Linked DNA regions of Lepisosteus oculatus. The protein of the gene in region 1 interacts with the protein of each later gene in a biochemical or structural test. Links are inferred from orthologs where the notes say so. Each region holds a gene or a part of one and is shown in the gene's direction. Other genes may lie near its edges.

Region 1 (8,098 bases):
TCTGACCAAAGATTTCACAGGAGGTCAGGAAGTGTACAGTAGATCACAGCTTAACACAGAGCCAACTGTGTCCAGCAGGCAGGCTTCTATAATAAACTGAGTGAACCTGGTTTTGTAGTACACATGAATTGGAAAACCTTTGGAAGATATTGTAAGTATTTTTCTTGAATGTGATTGTGTAAAAAACAGAAAAAGGTATTGACTGTCTGAACTCAAAAGTAAAAGGCTTTTGTTGTAGATTCATGAGCTTAATGTTTTTATCAGAAAGAAACAGGGCTGTCTAAATTGTCCACACAGTGCTGGAAATCTTTCCTTTCTTCCCCATTGCTAGTCAGATTTTTCAAGCAGAATAAAAATGTAAAGAAAATGGAGGTGACAGAAACCCATAGAGCACATTTGGACTGAGTTATTCATGTGTTGCAAAATTTGTTGTGCTATTCACACTGAAATTCAGCTTAGGTCACTAACTGAATATAAATGTATCGATTGTATATTTATTGAGGCTTCAAGGGATGCACGTGGGTGTTTTTTGTATATTTTAGATGAATGGACAAGTTAAGATCTGTTAACTTTAGATTAGTAGCAGTTGTGCATTTACTGGTTTTCTTTTATGTCTTTTATTTTTAGCTCTGTTTTTCCTACAGTTCTGATATTCCAAAGCCAAATACAAACTTTTGCTTTTGCTGCTATTAAGTGCAGTATATGCACATGAAAACTACATTGGAAATGGTTGCACAACCTTTGGTTTTCATGAAAAGTTAAAAGATGCTTTTGAGCTCAAAAGAAACATTAGATAGGGTGCCAATAATTCTACCATTTGTAGGACAGTAAAATGTTTTCTTAAAATCAATGTTTTTTTTCTTATAAGAGCATACAAAGGATGAGTCAATGTTCATATATACCTGTAGACAAATGTTCATATAAAGTGTTAAATAGTTGGAATTCTTCAATGATGTGTGACCTGTTCACTTAAATGTTATACAAAAGGGGTGTTATGAGTATTTTTTATCTGTGGGAGGAAAAGCTGTATTTTCTTTCTTTAAATTATGAGTAAATTGAAAACAAGAGGGAAAAAAACATCAACAACAAATAACTTGGATGTCCCAAATAATTTTCAACAGATGTGCAACATTTGCAGTCTCAATAACAGGAGGCAGTGACGGGGGGGATAGAGTGATCTGCAGACAAAAGTACATTTTGTCTGTTTGTTTTTTGCAAACAAGAAGAGTTCAAAACAAGAGTGGCAATCCTTTCACAGGCCTTTGATTCTGCCAGCTTGTCTTTTGTTACCTGTTGGTTCCTGTTCAGGTGGCAGTGTGGAGGAGTGTTCAGGGCTCTAGACTTGCATATGGGAGGCTCCAATGCTAGATGAACCACTACTGCTACACTCCCCTTGACCAAATTTTGTTACTGTGATTGCTCAAGTAATGTGGCTAGGTGTATAAATGGATACAATGTACGTCTATTTGGATAAAACCATCAGACAAAGAGCTTTTCCACCCTGAAGTGGCACCAGAAATTGAATGTCCGAGGGTGTGTCTCATATTAGTGCAAGTGTTTGAGACACCATCACAAAACTTTGTGTTAGTTTTAAAATAGTGGATAGTTTTTCTACTTAAAGATCGTAAATAATGTGCTGAATGTCCTCCTCTCTTTGTGGCTTTTCCGTTGTCCTGATATTCATAAAATAAATAACTATTACAGTACGGAACTTGCGGTTTTGTGTTTGCAGTGCTGTTGAACTGAAATATTCCCTGATGGCTTTGCCTGATTAAAAACCATGTTTAAGTGATTATTTAAAAAAAGCAGAGGAAACAATTTCTCCAAAAGAATTTACCATGTTTTGTCCCATGATCTGAACCACAGTTGCCCTCTCCGTCTCTAGAACTGTCCTTACTGTGTTCCTGAAAATGCTTTATTTTCAAAAACTCTTTTATCTCCCAAGTCTCTGTAAGCTTTCACCATTCCAGCAATAAAGTTATGCACTCTTCAAAAAAGGTATCGGCCTGGTGGAACTCTTTTAAAAACACAAATAAAACAAAGGTCCTTGTTGTCATGAGGCATTTTGAACTGCATGTCTTCATGTTTTTCCACAGAGAATCTTACTAGCAGTAGGGTTCTCTTCAGAATTCTGGGCAATTATTTTAATTGCTTTCTTCAGCACATTATATGAGCAGTATATCAAGAAAATGTCCTTGTCTGTCAATTCAAAAAGTAGGACTAACGTGATCAGCTTTTTTGCACACGGGGAATTACAAATAAACAGGTTTAGTAATCTATGCAGGTGATCATGTTTCTGCTTCAGTCTTCCACTGCCCGTTTGACTTCTAAGAACATTGCCTGTCTCATGTGCCACATCTGGACACGAGTTTGAGCCCGGGTCAGGTCTTGTTTTGATGTTGAGGTTGTTTCAACCTGTCCATCACCTTGTTTTCATATTGATTCTTTTTTACCCTACCCTACTTTCTACTGGTTATGTGCAAAAGGTGGGACAAAACTTTTTTACACAAATCGTTTAAAGAAAAAATGTAAATCTGCTGTACAGGGAAGTTCGAGGACCTTAAGTAATACCAGCTTGATTGACATTGTTGCAATGCTGCTGCCCAAATTGTTTTTAAAACTCCATTTATTGGGGAATGTGTTACTTTTTTGTTAACTTACACACTTTTAAACCACCTTTTTTGTTTTTAAAGATGTTGTAAAATTCATTCACACACAAATTAAGAAACTGTGTTGCCCAGGCATTTTAGATCTTGATGAATCACCTGAATAGAATCTGAGAGCACCTGTACTAGTTCCTCTCTTGGGTATCTGGATTATGAGAAGTAGAGGTTTGTCTTTGTCCTGGGAGATACAGCAGCCACTATCTGTCTGTCATAGCCAAAGAGTGAATGGAGGAAACAACACTTAACAACCTTAGGGACTATCACAGTGGCGATTGGTTAGGAAATGATGCATGATAAAAAAAGATCTTCACAAACATGAACGCAATCTTTTGCAAAAACATTCACCCTCAGTAGTTGGTTTATTGTCTACCTAAGTCTCCTTCTTGGCACATAAAGAATCATAGAAGAAAATGCAGAAAAATGATTCCACTAGTGTGACAGTTGTCTCACTTCCCCAGCCTTGTCTAACTTTCATCAGTCAGAGCAGTCTGTTCTGCAATGAAAAGTTCCTGTATCTTCAGTTTATAACAGTGGCATTCGCACCTTGAAGCTTGGTCTGATCAGATCTCAGGAACTCAGAATAGAGGGATCTGGTTAGTACTAGGCCAGTATCCTCAAAGGAGTTCCAGTTTCCTGTTGTAAGTGTTGGTGGTGGACCAGTAGGAGGCATCTTCCCTCTGGATCTGAATTTAAAAAAAAAAACAGTTTCATAGAATACTGACTACTGTCATATGAGCGTGTATTTGGATGAGATGTTAAACTAAGGCCCTGGGTACTTGGTCTTTAAAGATCCCACAGCACTGTTTGTAGGAGAATTGTAATTAATAAGCAATATCAATGTTTTAAAGATGCATCGCTCAATTAACCTATTAATTAATTTCGGTTCCAGGTCAATTTCAAAATCCTACTCTCTCTCAAAGTGTCCTGAGGTTATGGGGCCTGGGTGGCTGCTAATGCAGAAACAGAGACACAAAAGTCTAAAGAAGCAACCATCAAGTGATAGACAGTTCAGTCAGGAAAAAAAGCAGCAGTTTACAGGGGTCCCACTGGGCGGGATCAGGGTTGGAGCCAATATCTAGTTATTCTTGAAGGTCATCCTATAAACCTCTTATTTAAACACTTGTAACAGGTGTTTGATCAATTAAGCAATTTTTCTTTCAGTATTGGGGACACTTGTCCTTGCGGGCTGAAGAATGTTATATTTTTTTGTTAAATGATCTCTACATTACTTCAGAACCAGAGCCAGGTTGGGGCTCTCCCTACCACCGCTGCAGAGCACTGGCCTGAACGTACTGTACAGAGAGCAAAGACTTCTAACCCTGGTCCTGGATCCAGAAAGATTTATTGTATATACTGCACAGTAGGTCTTCTTAAATCCATCACCTCTAAGGACTGGGAACACCTGTGCCTGTTATTGGTCCATTATGGACTCTATTGGAAATAACAGGCACAGGGTTCGTGTGTTTGTGATGAACTACTGTACAGTGCCTAACAACTCTGGGATTTATTTATTTGGACGACAAACCTCAGGAGCCAGCTGAGTGTAAATGGTTAACAGATAAAAGTTGATGAATGACCTCCACTCGTTATTTATCCCCCTTCAAACTGCTGTATGGGAAAACTCCACTTGAGGAATTTTGACTTCAACCAGGTGAATTTTTATTCTCCATCCATTCAGCCACCCATCCACTTACAGTACTAACTGCTTTATCCAACACAGATTTGCAAGGGAGCCTGAGCTTTTCTTTTTTATTCAACTGTGGTTTTAAATGAAAATAATAACAACTAGCCAATATGGAAATTCCTGAAAAATATTTTAAGGTATTTTATTGGTAATGGATATTTGTAATGAGTCTTTGAAAAAGTCATTTCTGTAACAGATGATTCACTATTTATTGGTCTAACAAAATCAAAGCGAATTAATCTGTTTAATGGTCTGGCCAGTGCAGTTTTACTGAACCCTGCAGCATCATCTCATATCGCTGTTCAACTAGTATTTTATTCTGTCTGGTTTTCCTTGGACAGATTCAGTTACTGTGCTATTTAGACAATATACTCAACAGGTAAGAAGGATGATCTTTACATAACGGATTGGCTTTTAATTTTCTATATATACATGTACAGTACAGTACAGTAATAACTCTACTCTTTAGGTGGACGACTTTGAATCACCTTCAAAGTTCCGAAGAAATACTGGAGAATTTCAGTGTGTGAGTGAAAATGTTTTCCAGCAATCCTTAAAATACCAAAGGCGAGGACAAATGTAGATCCGTAGATTGGGAACATCCATTCCACAAACGGTTACGTACAGTAGAATCCTTTGTGCCAGGCTCGTAGCAAGCAATGCCTTGCATAAAGTAGTCCAAGGGCGGCTGAATTGTGCAGTCGGTGCTGTGTAAGCTCCATACCTATCCGTGAAGCGCTGCTCCGAGCTCGGTGAGGTCACTAGTGGGTGCTGCAGACACTCGGAGAGCAAAGAAGGCAAAGACGCAGAAAGCTAGCACCGGACTGTTGACGGGGAAAGTGAAACGTTAAGAGTCCCGTACCGTAGGTTCTATCAGTATCACTATTGATTTATTTTTTGGGAAACAACAACAACAACAACAACAACAACTGCGTATTTAGGATCGAAGAGTGCAGCCCATAGTCTGAGTCGGCCTACCGGAGAAGGTAAGAATGACAGAACAGTTAAAATTCCCAGTTACTTGGAAAGGAAAACGTGCTGTGTTCCTGCGATGAAAACAGGAGGATTTTGATTCCGTGGAGCTCACTTCAACCGAACAGTGTTTTTATTACTTAACGTTGTGTTTACGTTGTTTTTTTTAACTCGTTCTCAAAAGGCGATCCAAAAGGCAGTCATGGAAATCTCATTGTACCCTTTTGATCTTACTAAATAAGTTTAGACAAAACGCATGAGAAAAAAAGCCGATAGTATACCGCACTGAGTCTTGAAAGAAAGCCAGAGGTAAGCAATACAGATATTGTCCGGTATGTGAAAACTTTAGTTTTCTGTCTCTAGGGCTTTTTTCCCAGATTTTCGTCAAGGCTTGTTTAATCTAACCATTTTAGTTTTTTCGTTGTTAGCAAAGTTTATGCATTTTCGGAGAAGGCACGATGCTCTGCCATCTGCGAATGTAGAGATGAGATTACTACAACCTGCGAGTATCTCTTAATGCCCTGCAGTGCAAATCAATAGAAACACAACTTTGTGAATGTTGAGGATAGACACACGAAACGTTTTTGGCATTGTTAGTTTGGAATTCATGGGGAATTAAGCGTCTGTTTGAATATTAAAAGCTATTTATGAAACTGCACGAAAGAAGCGCTGCTTTGGAAAGGAGGCGCAGAAACAGTTTTTTTTAGAGAATGTTAAGCATATTTACGCCTTTGAATGTGTTCCCCATGAATTGTCTACTAAATGGCCAGTTTGGCGAAAATAAAGCAAACGACATACTGTATAGGCTGTATTTTTTTTTGTTCTTTTACACTCAGTGTGACACTTCAGAATGACGTTTTTCTGTCAGAAGATTGACAAACTTTCGACTCTATGTCCTGTAATCGACCATAGGATTGCAAACGTGAGCAGTGGAGCAACATTTATCATGTGTGCATTCACTGGAACATCTTAACTTCCCCTTTGCTCAGGAGATTTCGATACACTTGTGTACACACTGAAAAAACGCATGTTCAATACACGTAGAAGAGATATCATTGACAAATGGGTATAGTTTAACAAACAAACGGGTAAACCTAATTTGTTTATAAACTTTAAGGTACCGGGCGCAAATATCGATAGCTATTAGGTATTTTATACAGCTGAAAGGACGTATCACCTTTGTACTTACATGTAAATGTGACATATTAAAACGTTTCGGTGCCTTTAAAACTTGTTTTACAAAACGACGTCTTTTAGATTTTAAAATCCTAAATACACTGCTAGAGAGTGTGTTCCACATTTCATAAGCAGGGGCAGGTCTGATGATTGTGGTGTGCAGTTAGTCTGTTTTTTTTTTTCCTTTTCGAAAGTACAGTATCTCTGGGTGAATAAATTATTCCCCGATGCTGATGAGAGCTGCCTACATTTTCTCGCACAGATAGCAAGAAAGCAGATGATTTTCCGGGGAAAAAAGGTGACCGATCTCACCCTCAATCTTGTTAAAAATTTGATTTTTCTGAAATGACATCATGCTTGAGTAGCTGCATGTTCATTTCCGTAAAGGTGTTGTAGGTCTGATTGAAAATATAAAAATGTACTTCAGTTAAGTATTTTTTTTTCGCAATTTAAGCCACCAATTCAATGGTATGTTTAGCTGTCATACTGAGAATACAGTATGCAATTATTGAATGAGGGCTTAAATAGAACTGAAATATATATTACCATAAAATATTTAGTTCCTGCCTAGTGTTATTAACATGCATTCTTCATTTAGGTGTTACCTATGGGAGATAGCAGAAGTATATTTCAGGGCAGAAGTTAATTTGTATGAATAATTTAACTGTTTGGGATCTGACTCAAGTATTCAGACTCCACAAAGGCATTGGCAGTCTAAACACTGGACTTCTTCAGAATCGCCAGTGACACATAAACCAGGGGACACAAGTGAAAACTGCAGGCAAGTGTGTCAGAAAACCTTCCAGGCCATCTTGTTGAGGATGAGATCCTCAGGTCAGTTCCCTACTAGCAGCCTGATGGACTAGGTGTCCTGTTTGTGATTTTTATGTTCCGATGTGGATCAGGTCCAAACAGCTGAAATCACGTCCAGTTTTTACAAATCATTAAGCATTATACCCACTCCAAGACATCCTAGACCTCCGGAGGACTGAGTCTTGGGTGACTGAGGAAGACATACAGTATGCATTTATTGTCCTCCTGCTTGATGTACTTACAGTACAGTATGCACATCCATTCCACAGCAGACAATGAAACAGGTATCGCTCATTGTGAGGAGGTGGCCCTGCTTGTCACAGAACAGACTCGGGGCCTGTCGTGTGGCAGATCCTGCAGCAGATGGAATTGGCGCATCATTACGGTAATTACGTCTGCAGGTGACAAATATGCCTGAGGTGATGTAGTGGATTGTTTTTAGCGCCATTGTCACAGCTTACCATCCAGATCCATCAGCAGACGGCGTCAGACTACCCTCGTTCCTGCAAACACCGAGGCGTCCTGCATATTCCGTTTGTGGGGTTTGTCCGTGTTTCCCAGGTTTAAGAGCTGGGGTGTTGAGAGGCGCACGAGAAAAGCAATTACAGTATGAGACGTCTGAAAAAGAGGGCAAAGACCCACAAGGGTGACAAGAGTGGGTCCTGCCCTGTGCTCTCCACTGAACTTTCTACAGTATACCACTGCTGGAACTGGGTCCCGTAGTGACAGAGACTCGCAGTAGGGTCTCTCATTTGTGAGGGTCATTTAAATAAGCTGCTTAAAGCGA
Region 2 (7,512 bases), on another chromosome or scaffold:
AGGATAAGCATACAAATTGCAATCAACAGTGCGAATCTAAAACTCTTTGTACCCAACGTACCCAAATAGTACATCCCTCCTACGTTGGGGTTTGACTTTTAAAAATAAAAGGCTAGTATTTGATGAACGTGAATATGGAAACATGAGTTTTATGCATAATTAAGAATTATAGAATATATGGTTTTTACTGTGTCGACACATTCAGCAATAGCAGGAGGAAGAGAGTTAAGACCTCGACTTTTCAAAGCAGGGAAATTTCAAACCAACCATTTTTAGCCTGTAATTATTTAAATATGACCCATTGTCACATGAACTAGATTCCGTGGTCCAAAGCGCTATTTTACACACCCTATTGCTTTATCCGGAGCTACATCTTACCGGAACTTGATGTGGCTAGTAGCGGGTTTGTTCGGGTATTAGGCCTACAACCTTACAAAAACACGGCCATTCCCACAGTATTTTACATTATCTTGTTACTGAAAAAAACTCCCGCTGGAGTTTCAGTTGAGAACAAAAGTGCTCCACTAGCACAAAGGGGGGGTTAATTAGATTCCACTTGCATGTTCACAGCTTTTTGTAAACCCCGAGGTGTGCGTTCTCCCGTTGTACATTGTAGGACTACTGATTGACAATTGAATATAGCCAATAGAACACAAGATTTTATCCTGCAATTAACACCTCTTAATCAATCTCCTGCAAACGCCGTTGGTTTGACTTAGTTTTTATCGGGAACACATGGGTGAAACAGTTAACTCTGTTTTTTTTTCATAACCTCATTCGGTTTAAAGAAACCTTAAGAAATACAGTATGTACGTTGTAATTTTAAAAGCTATAGTTCTTACGTTCTTTCTTGGTTTTTGCTACGGAGGCAAGTCTGAAGATTTGAGAAAACAAGAAAAGTGGTTTCTGAATTCATTGGGTCTTTCTAGCCGCCCAAAGCCTTCAGACAATTTAGCAGTACCTTCCTTATTATGGAAAATGTTCAAGACAAAGACGAGCTCCAAGCCATCCCTTGAAGCAGAAAATGATTCCTGCAGGATATCAGAATTCGATGTCCGTGGAAATATCGTGCGATTTATTCAGGACCAAGGTATTTTCTCACTTCTTGTTGCAATGTGAATGTCGTATAACCTGCACTGTATTATGTTTACTATTTTCGTCATTCCTTATTTAAAAGATCGACGTTATTGTTTCAAAAAACGTTAAATAGTTGTTTAATTTTGATATGTTCATATTTATTACCCTATCTATGTAAGAGTCTTTTGAGGAATTTCATTAATCATTTTAACATGACTTTGATAATTGTATGTTTTGCTGCAATTTACGCTGATAAACGTTGTTGTTGTTTTTTTGTAGGTAGAGTAATTTCTGGATCAAGCCGCCAGTGTTCAACGTGTGTAGAAAAGCACATTTACTTCAATGTTTCTGTGCTTGAAGAGGTTGAGAAGCTCACGTTGGCTCAGCTGGAAATAAAATTCAACCAGAATTTACGTCGATTCTCGATAAATCCACCCATATTCATTATCTCACTATACAAAGTTCAGAAGACAGCATTGAAAGGAATGTCGCGCAAATCCAATCGGAAGCTGCTGCTGTCACAGACTTTTCAACTTGTTCCTGGATCCATCACGTTGGACTTGACGGCTGTCGCAGAGGCCTGGAGAAAACCCGATAAAAACTATGGGCTTGTTCTTGCTATTCATCCCAGTGATCCAAGTAACGGCATGGACCCTTTTAAATTGCCGAATTCAGGAAATGACATTGGGCATAATTTTATTGGAACTCTACCTCAGTTTTACACGTCACTGATCGTTGTTTCTTTGAACCCCCATCAGTGCAGATCTAGAATAAAAAGAAGTGCCTATTATCTGCCTGTAACTCCTAGCAACATTTGTAAACCAAGGCGACTGTACATTGATTTCAAGGATGTAGGTTGGCAAGATTGGATAATTGCTCCTCAGGGGTACATGGCTAATTATTGTCATGGAGAATGCCCATTTCCCTTAAGTGAAAGTCTTAATGGTACTAACCACGCAATTTTACAAACTCTACTCCATTCCTTCGACCCAAATGGTACCCCTCAACCTTGCTGTGTTCCTATTAAATTGTCTCCTATTTCAATGCTGTACTATGATAACAACGACAATGTTGTATTAAGGCATTACGAAGATATGATAGTGGATGAGTGTGGATGCAGGTAATTCATACAATGTAACGTTTTGAATTTAGATTAACAATTTTTAACAAGTTAACCTACTTCTAAATACAGAATATCGCATGGTTAGCGTTTATCACGGATAAAACGGGATCGATCAAGATTGATTATTTTTATTAATATTGTAATAATCAAGAACTCCCGAAATCAAACTATTGGGTCTGAATATCTTATTTTACCTGATAAAAGTTTTAAATTAGCAATTGACAATTTAATCTTATCTTAACAGCCTCTGTAAATCGTTTTTCTGAATTGTAAAGTAGATATGATTACAGACCAAAACATAACTACATTTATATTTTTTTTTTCTCTGCTTCCATTTAAAAGAGGTGCTGAATAAAGTGACATAAAAAGTGAAGTAATACCGGCGTCAGAAGTTGTTTTTAGTAGTTGATGGTGACTGGCTAGGTCACAAAACCTAATTAAAAAAAATAGGTTTCAAAATTTGAATCCTTTAAATGCGAACTAAGCAGTCAGATGGTTTTCATCTTAACAGTCAAATTGTATCTCCCTGAAAATAATTAGTTCTGCCATTAGGTAGGCCTATGTTTTGCCCCAATGCTACTTTTTATTCATTTGTGACTGAAAGGAAAGGAGAGGAGATCTTCCCATTTCTCTAAGAGAAGATCTTGATTAAATGTGCCGAATCTGGTCCACTGGTTCACAGTTTCCTCAACGTAGGTAAAGCAGCTGAATTAACTTCACAGCCTGTCTTTATTCTGCGCGTTTTCGTTAAGTGTGTATTACCTGTCTGTATTGCTCTTATCCATTCTTAAAACCCTTTACTTAAATAAGTATGGGTGCTCTTGAGGTATGTTTACTGTATTTTATTACAGTTTGCTAATACATTCGTTATTTGGTCAGTTTTAAAGAATTTGAATTCAAAGTCAATAAACTTTAAAGCTCTAATACATCGTTGTTATTCCTCTTGATGTTTCTGTGACTGCAGTAATTTAAATATGTAAAGGTATGCATGCATGTGCTTTCCTTGTTCAGTTTTAACAAGCTTTTGCTAACTACCGGTATTCTACACGTCCATGGTGGGGGGGAGGATCGGGGGGCGAAGCAGTAGCAGTTCCGAGGATAATCCGATTTGTGTAATGCGAGACTCAAATTATTTTACTTTTTATCTGAGAAAAATATACAATGAATCTTTGTTTAATACACATGTGATCACACTTTTTAAATCTCTCCACAAGTTGGCGCACTGTATCTAATTTTGACATTTCCTTTCAGATTCTTACAATTTTGAACTCCCTGTAAACAGCGTTGCAAACGTCTATATATGTTAACTTTGTTGAGTTTTTAACACTTTACAGAAACGAAAAACAAATCCGCAACATAACGAATGGTTCTTTACAGGGGACAACCACACAACAGAGAAAAAAAAAAACATTTCTCAGTCTTAACACCGTTTCGTAAATGTTCAGTCGTATCACCCACGAGGAAAGAGTCTATTTCGTCCACTGTAAATTAATGTTATGATTTCTTATAACCCAGATGTTTTTCTTTTGTTACTTAATAAAAGATAATTTTGCAGTTTTGCTGTGCCATGTTTTGATCGAATTTGTGCTTAGTTTCGAAGGACCTTTTCTCTCGGTAAAGAAATGTTGTGGTCTGGAAAAGAACAACTGAATTTATATATTTATACACTAAACATTGGCTTTACAGTTAACATACATAGGCTTTTTTGTGATATTAAAAATAGCTTTAAGAATATTCTAGGAAACATTTAATCTAGTACAGTTTATGCAATATAATTACAATGTGTAATTTTCTCTGATTTGAATTGATATTGCCATTTTCATTTTTTATATTGTATTTATAATTTAAAGTAAAGTTGCTTTACTCAAGTGGTAATTATCCATGTGTAACCTCGCAAGTGATTAGGATTTTGAACTTTTTAATAAAAACTTAGAAGTTGCATAGTTTATTTGGATCTAGAAGGGATATCCATAGTCTTTGTCAGTTTCAAAGTCTTGCTTGATAACAAGCCTTAAAAACTTCCTAAACTGACAAAATTCAGCAGATTAAAAATCCGTTCGCAGATACAGAACTTCTTTAACCTTATGTAGAGCTTCAGGACTAGAATTTACTCCAACAAGTACAGGAGGTGCCTTTGGTGCATGATTGACAGGCTTGTGGTAGTGACATCACTGAGCAACAAAAGGACGCATAAAAAAAAGCTTCTATCAATTGTACTGAACCATTGCACGCTAAATCGGGGAGACGCTCCGAAAGTTATCTTTGTAGTTTGTAATGAGCGGCAGTATACCCTACCGTAAAACTCCCGTAACTTTAATTTTACTGTTGTTTTAATGATTATCAAAGATGACACCTTAAGGAATTAGGTTTTGCCTATTTGTATTTACGTTTTTTCTGGTTAATCTCAAGTGATATTTTCGTATCAGTAATCTGACTCGATTCTTTCTCGCCTGCCGACTTCACAGCTGCTGAGAATATGTGTAAGAAGAGGCGGGCTGTACTGTGGAGGCTTTCTGTTTTCTGCAGAATAGCTGTGTGGAATAACACTAAGTAATGTGGAAAATATCGGACTACAAAGCAGGAAAACCAGCGATCGGACAGAGCACTTCCTTATAGGTAACTGCAGACTTAAAAAACACCTTTGGTTGGTCCACAGGGAATCGGATCCGTAATGGGGAGAAGTAAAGATACCACCATCAACAGTGTACTTCCTAATCAATCGTGAGTTTAATTTTACCTGGACTTTATCCTGAGAGCTGCACTTGTAAAGAAAACACCTATAAGGAAGGTTGAAAAGGGCAGGCAAAAGAGGACGCTGATTATGACCACGAAAGATCCAGCCAGAAGGCATTGGCTTCTGTTTTAAAAAGGAGTGCATTCGGGATATATACGCATATTTCTGGGTTTTTTTCCATGTGGAAACTGTTTCAATGGACGTGTCAGAGAGTGCTTCTTAGTCGATCACCACTTTCTTAAAGGTAGTTGTTTTTGCTTTTTGTTTTTCGCCTTTGATTTGTGGTGGCCAGTGGAAGCACGTTAGATTTAACACCTGTGTGGCTGTCTCTCAGTAACTCTATGATCTAATCCTATTCCAGACACAACACCTTCACGTAAACAGCTTCAACAACTACACACGTGTAACACTCCTTTTCAGTATTGTTCTTTCCCTTCACTCGCCATAGCTATTTATCTTTTTGATCGCTATATTCTTTTATGATTCTTGCATTTTTTTAAGCTTATAAAGACGATTCCTGTCTTTTCATTTTTTGAGTCTTATCTTTGCGCAGTTGCGCCTTCTTGTCTGCCTTCTTTTCCTCCTTCTCATTCATCTCCTTTGATTTTTTTAAAACCGTTTTATCTTTTTAGTTAAATCGACTGTGTTCTTTTATATACCCCCTCCCTTATTGCGTGTTTAACCTATGCCCCTTTATTATGTTCTTATCAGTCTCCCATTTTATTTATCGTGGCCAGCGGGAATATCATTTCCAAAATTTGTTTTTGTTCCTCACATCAAAGTATAATGTCTTTTAACATGCTTGCTTTAAATTCTTCCTCTGGAAAGAAAACATTTTACTGTTCGCATGGCCATATCTTGTGGTAAACATTTTTTACTTAAACTATCAATACCGTACATGTGATAACAACACTCAGGTACTGACACACCGCTTTTTTCTCTCCGGCACAGATTGATCATGGTCGCCGGGGTCCGTGCTCTCATGGTGCTGCTGCTCTGTCAGGTGTTGCTCGGAGGTTCGGTCGGACTTATTCCGGAGGTTGGCCGAAGGAAGTTCAGCGAATCGTCTCGGCAAAGCACGCAGCAATCGGAGGACGTTCTTAACGAATTCGAGCTTCGCCTCCTTAATATGTTTGGACTGAAGCGCAGACCAACTCCAAGCAAGCTTGCGGTGGTCCCGCAGTACATGGTGGACCTCTATCACATGCATTCAGGGAATGGAGATCAGGACCCCAACCGCTCCAGATCAGTGCTGGGCCAGTATTCGGAAAGGTCTGCCAGCAGAGCGAATACAATTAGGAGTTTTCACCATGAAGGTAAGAGTTTCTCCCCGAAGAAGAGTTCTTTTTTTGTCTTAAACAGGAGGTACCTAGGGTAATGGATGTCACATTATCTTAAACACATTTCATTTACTTTGGGTGATTTCGAAAGCACTTTAAACAGAACGGGTTATATGAAATTTCTGTATGTGTCGATTTAAAACTGTTTAATGCCAAGCTTCGTCTTCAACAGGTATGACATTACTTTCGCTCACTGGAAATGTTCTTTTGTAGCCTCTGCTTACTTAAATTGAACATTGTAAATGACCGAAAACTGGTATGTAACTTGTGATATCCAAATTTGTAAATATTCATGGACAGTTTGCAATGTACGGTTGGTTTCAGCGAGTGCTAAAAGTAACGATGGAGTTAGATATCTCGATACAAATATCAACCCTTGATTTGTCTTAGTGTAAAAAGATTGATAATACATACTCATTGTATGTATCTAGCCTTTCATGTATTCTAGTAATTTAAAATCGGTAATTTAGCATAGAAGAAAATGTGGAAGGACATTTTAAAGGTTTTACATTTTTAGATTCAAGAGGTTATCTGATAAAGCACGTTTCTAAAGAAAAGTTGATCTAAAAGATATATAATGTTTTATAGGAAACTATTTAGTTCCATAGTAAAATGACATAAACCTTTAACAGATGCATTCTTTTTAATCATGGTTACTAATGAATGGGCATCTCAATGCTACTTTGCACACTTTAAGTAAGCAATGTCAAAGGAAATAGATTACTTGCACCAATATTTTAACATTTAACATTGACTGTCTGACCTCTTCACATATTGCATAAGACTGGTACCAGCCGATGGGTGGTTCTCAGCCTTGCTTCTAACAGGTACTTGAATTATTAATGTTGTTTCTGTACAGGTTCTGAAAACAATTTTCTCCTACACGAACGGTTTGTTGAGTATCAAATGTTCAGGTCAGGCAACAGTGTACCCGGAGTGTTGTTCACTCATTGTGCGTACACAGCTTAGTTTTCCTTTGATTTGATTTCAGTACATTAATGCTGCATTTGTTTGACAATTTCAGATTTTTCTTTATAAATGTGACAAAACTTTTAACAGAAGCCAACGGAACACAATGGATTGAGACCACAGAACCAATTATTTATTTTAAATGTGTACATAAATACATAATGTTTGTTTTTGTTAGTTCTTTTCTAGACCATACCTTTGTGTGGCAGGTGCTTCTTTTATTCAGTCATTGGTGATACACAGCCACCTCTTTTGAAATATCTTCATTT

What was found. The genes of interacting proteins can lie anywhere in the genome.
Region 2: the proteins of bmpr1ba (region 1) and bmp2a form a complex in vitro, tested with the Homo sapiens proteins (3 studies listed by BioGRID and IntAct, with this or other methods). The link is inferred for Lepisosteus oculatus from reciprocal best matches to the Homo sapiens genes BMPR1B and BMP2.

Annotation. Positions count from the first base shown.
Region 1 is NC_090698.1:13,785,431-13,793,528, reverse strand, and holds the start of bmpr1ba (bone morphogenetic protein receptor type-1B), read left to right. Parts: upstream 1-5,068; 5' UTR 5,069-5,336; intron 5,337-8,098. UniProt on the Homo sapiens protein: On ligand binding, forms a receptor complex consisting of two type II and two type I transmembrane serine/threonine kinases.
Region 2 is NC_090697.1:40,822,300-40,829,811, forward strand, and holds the start of bmp2a (bone morphogenetic protein 2), read left to right. Parts: upstream 1-4,435; 5' UTR 4,436-4,871; coding exon 4,872-4,921; exon of another isoform or gene 4,922-5,178; intron 5,179-5,885; coding exon 5,886-6,250; intron 6,251-7,512. Other genes in the region: gdf3 (protein DVR-1), read left to right, coding at 808-1,090, 1,357-2,201. UniProt on the Homo sapiens protein: Growth factor of the TGF-beta superfamily that plays essential roles in many developmental processes, including cardiogenesis, neurogenesis, and osteogenesis. Induces cartilage and bone formation.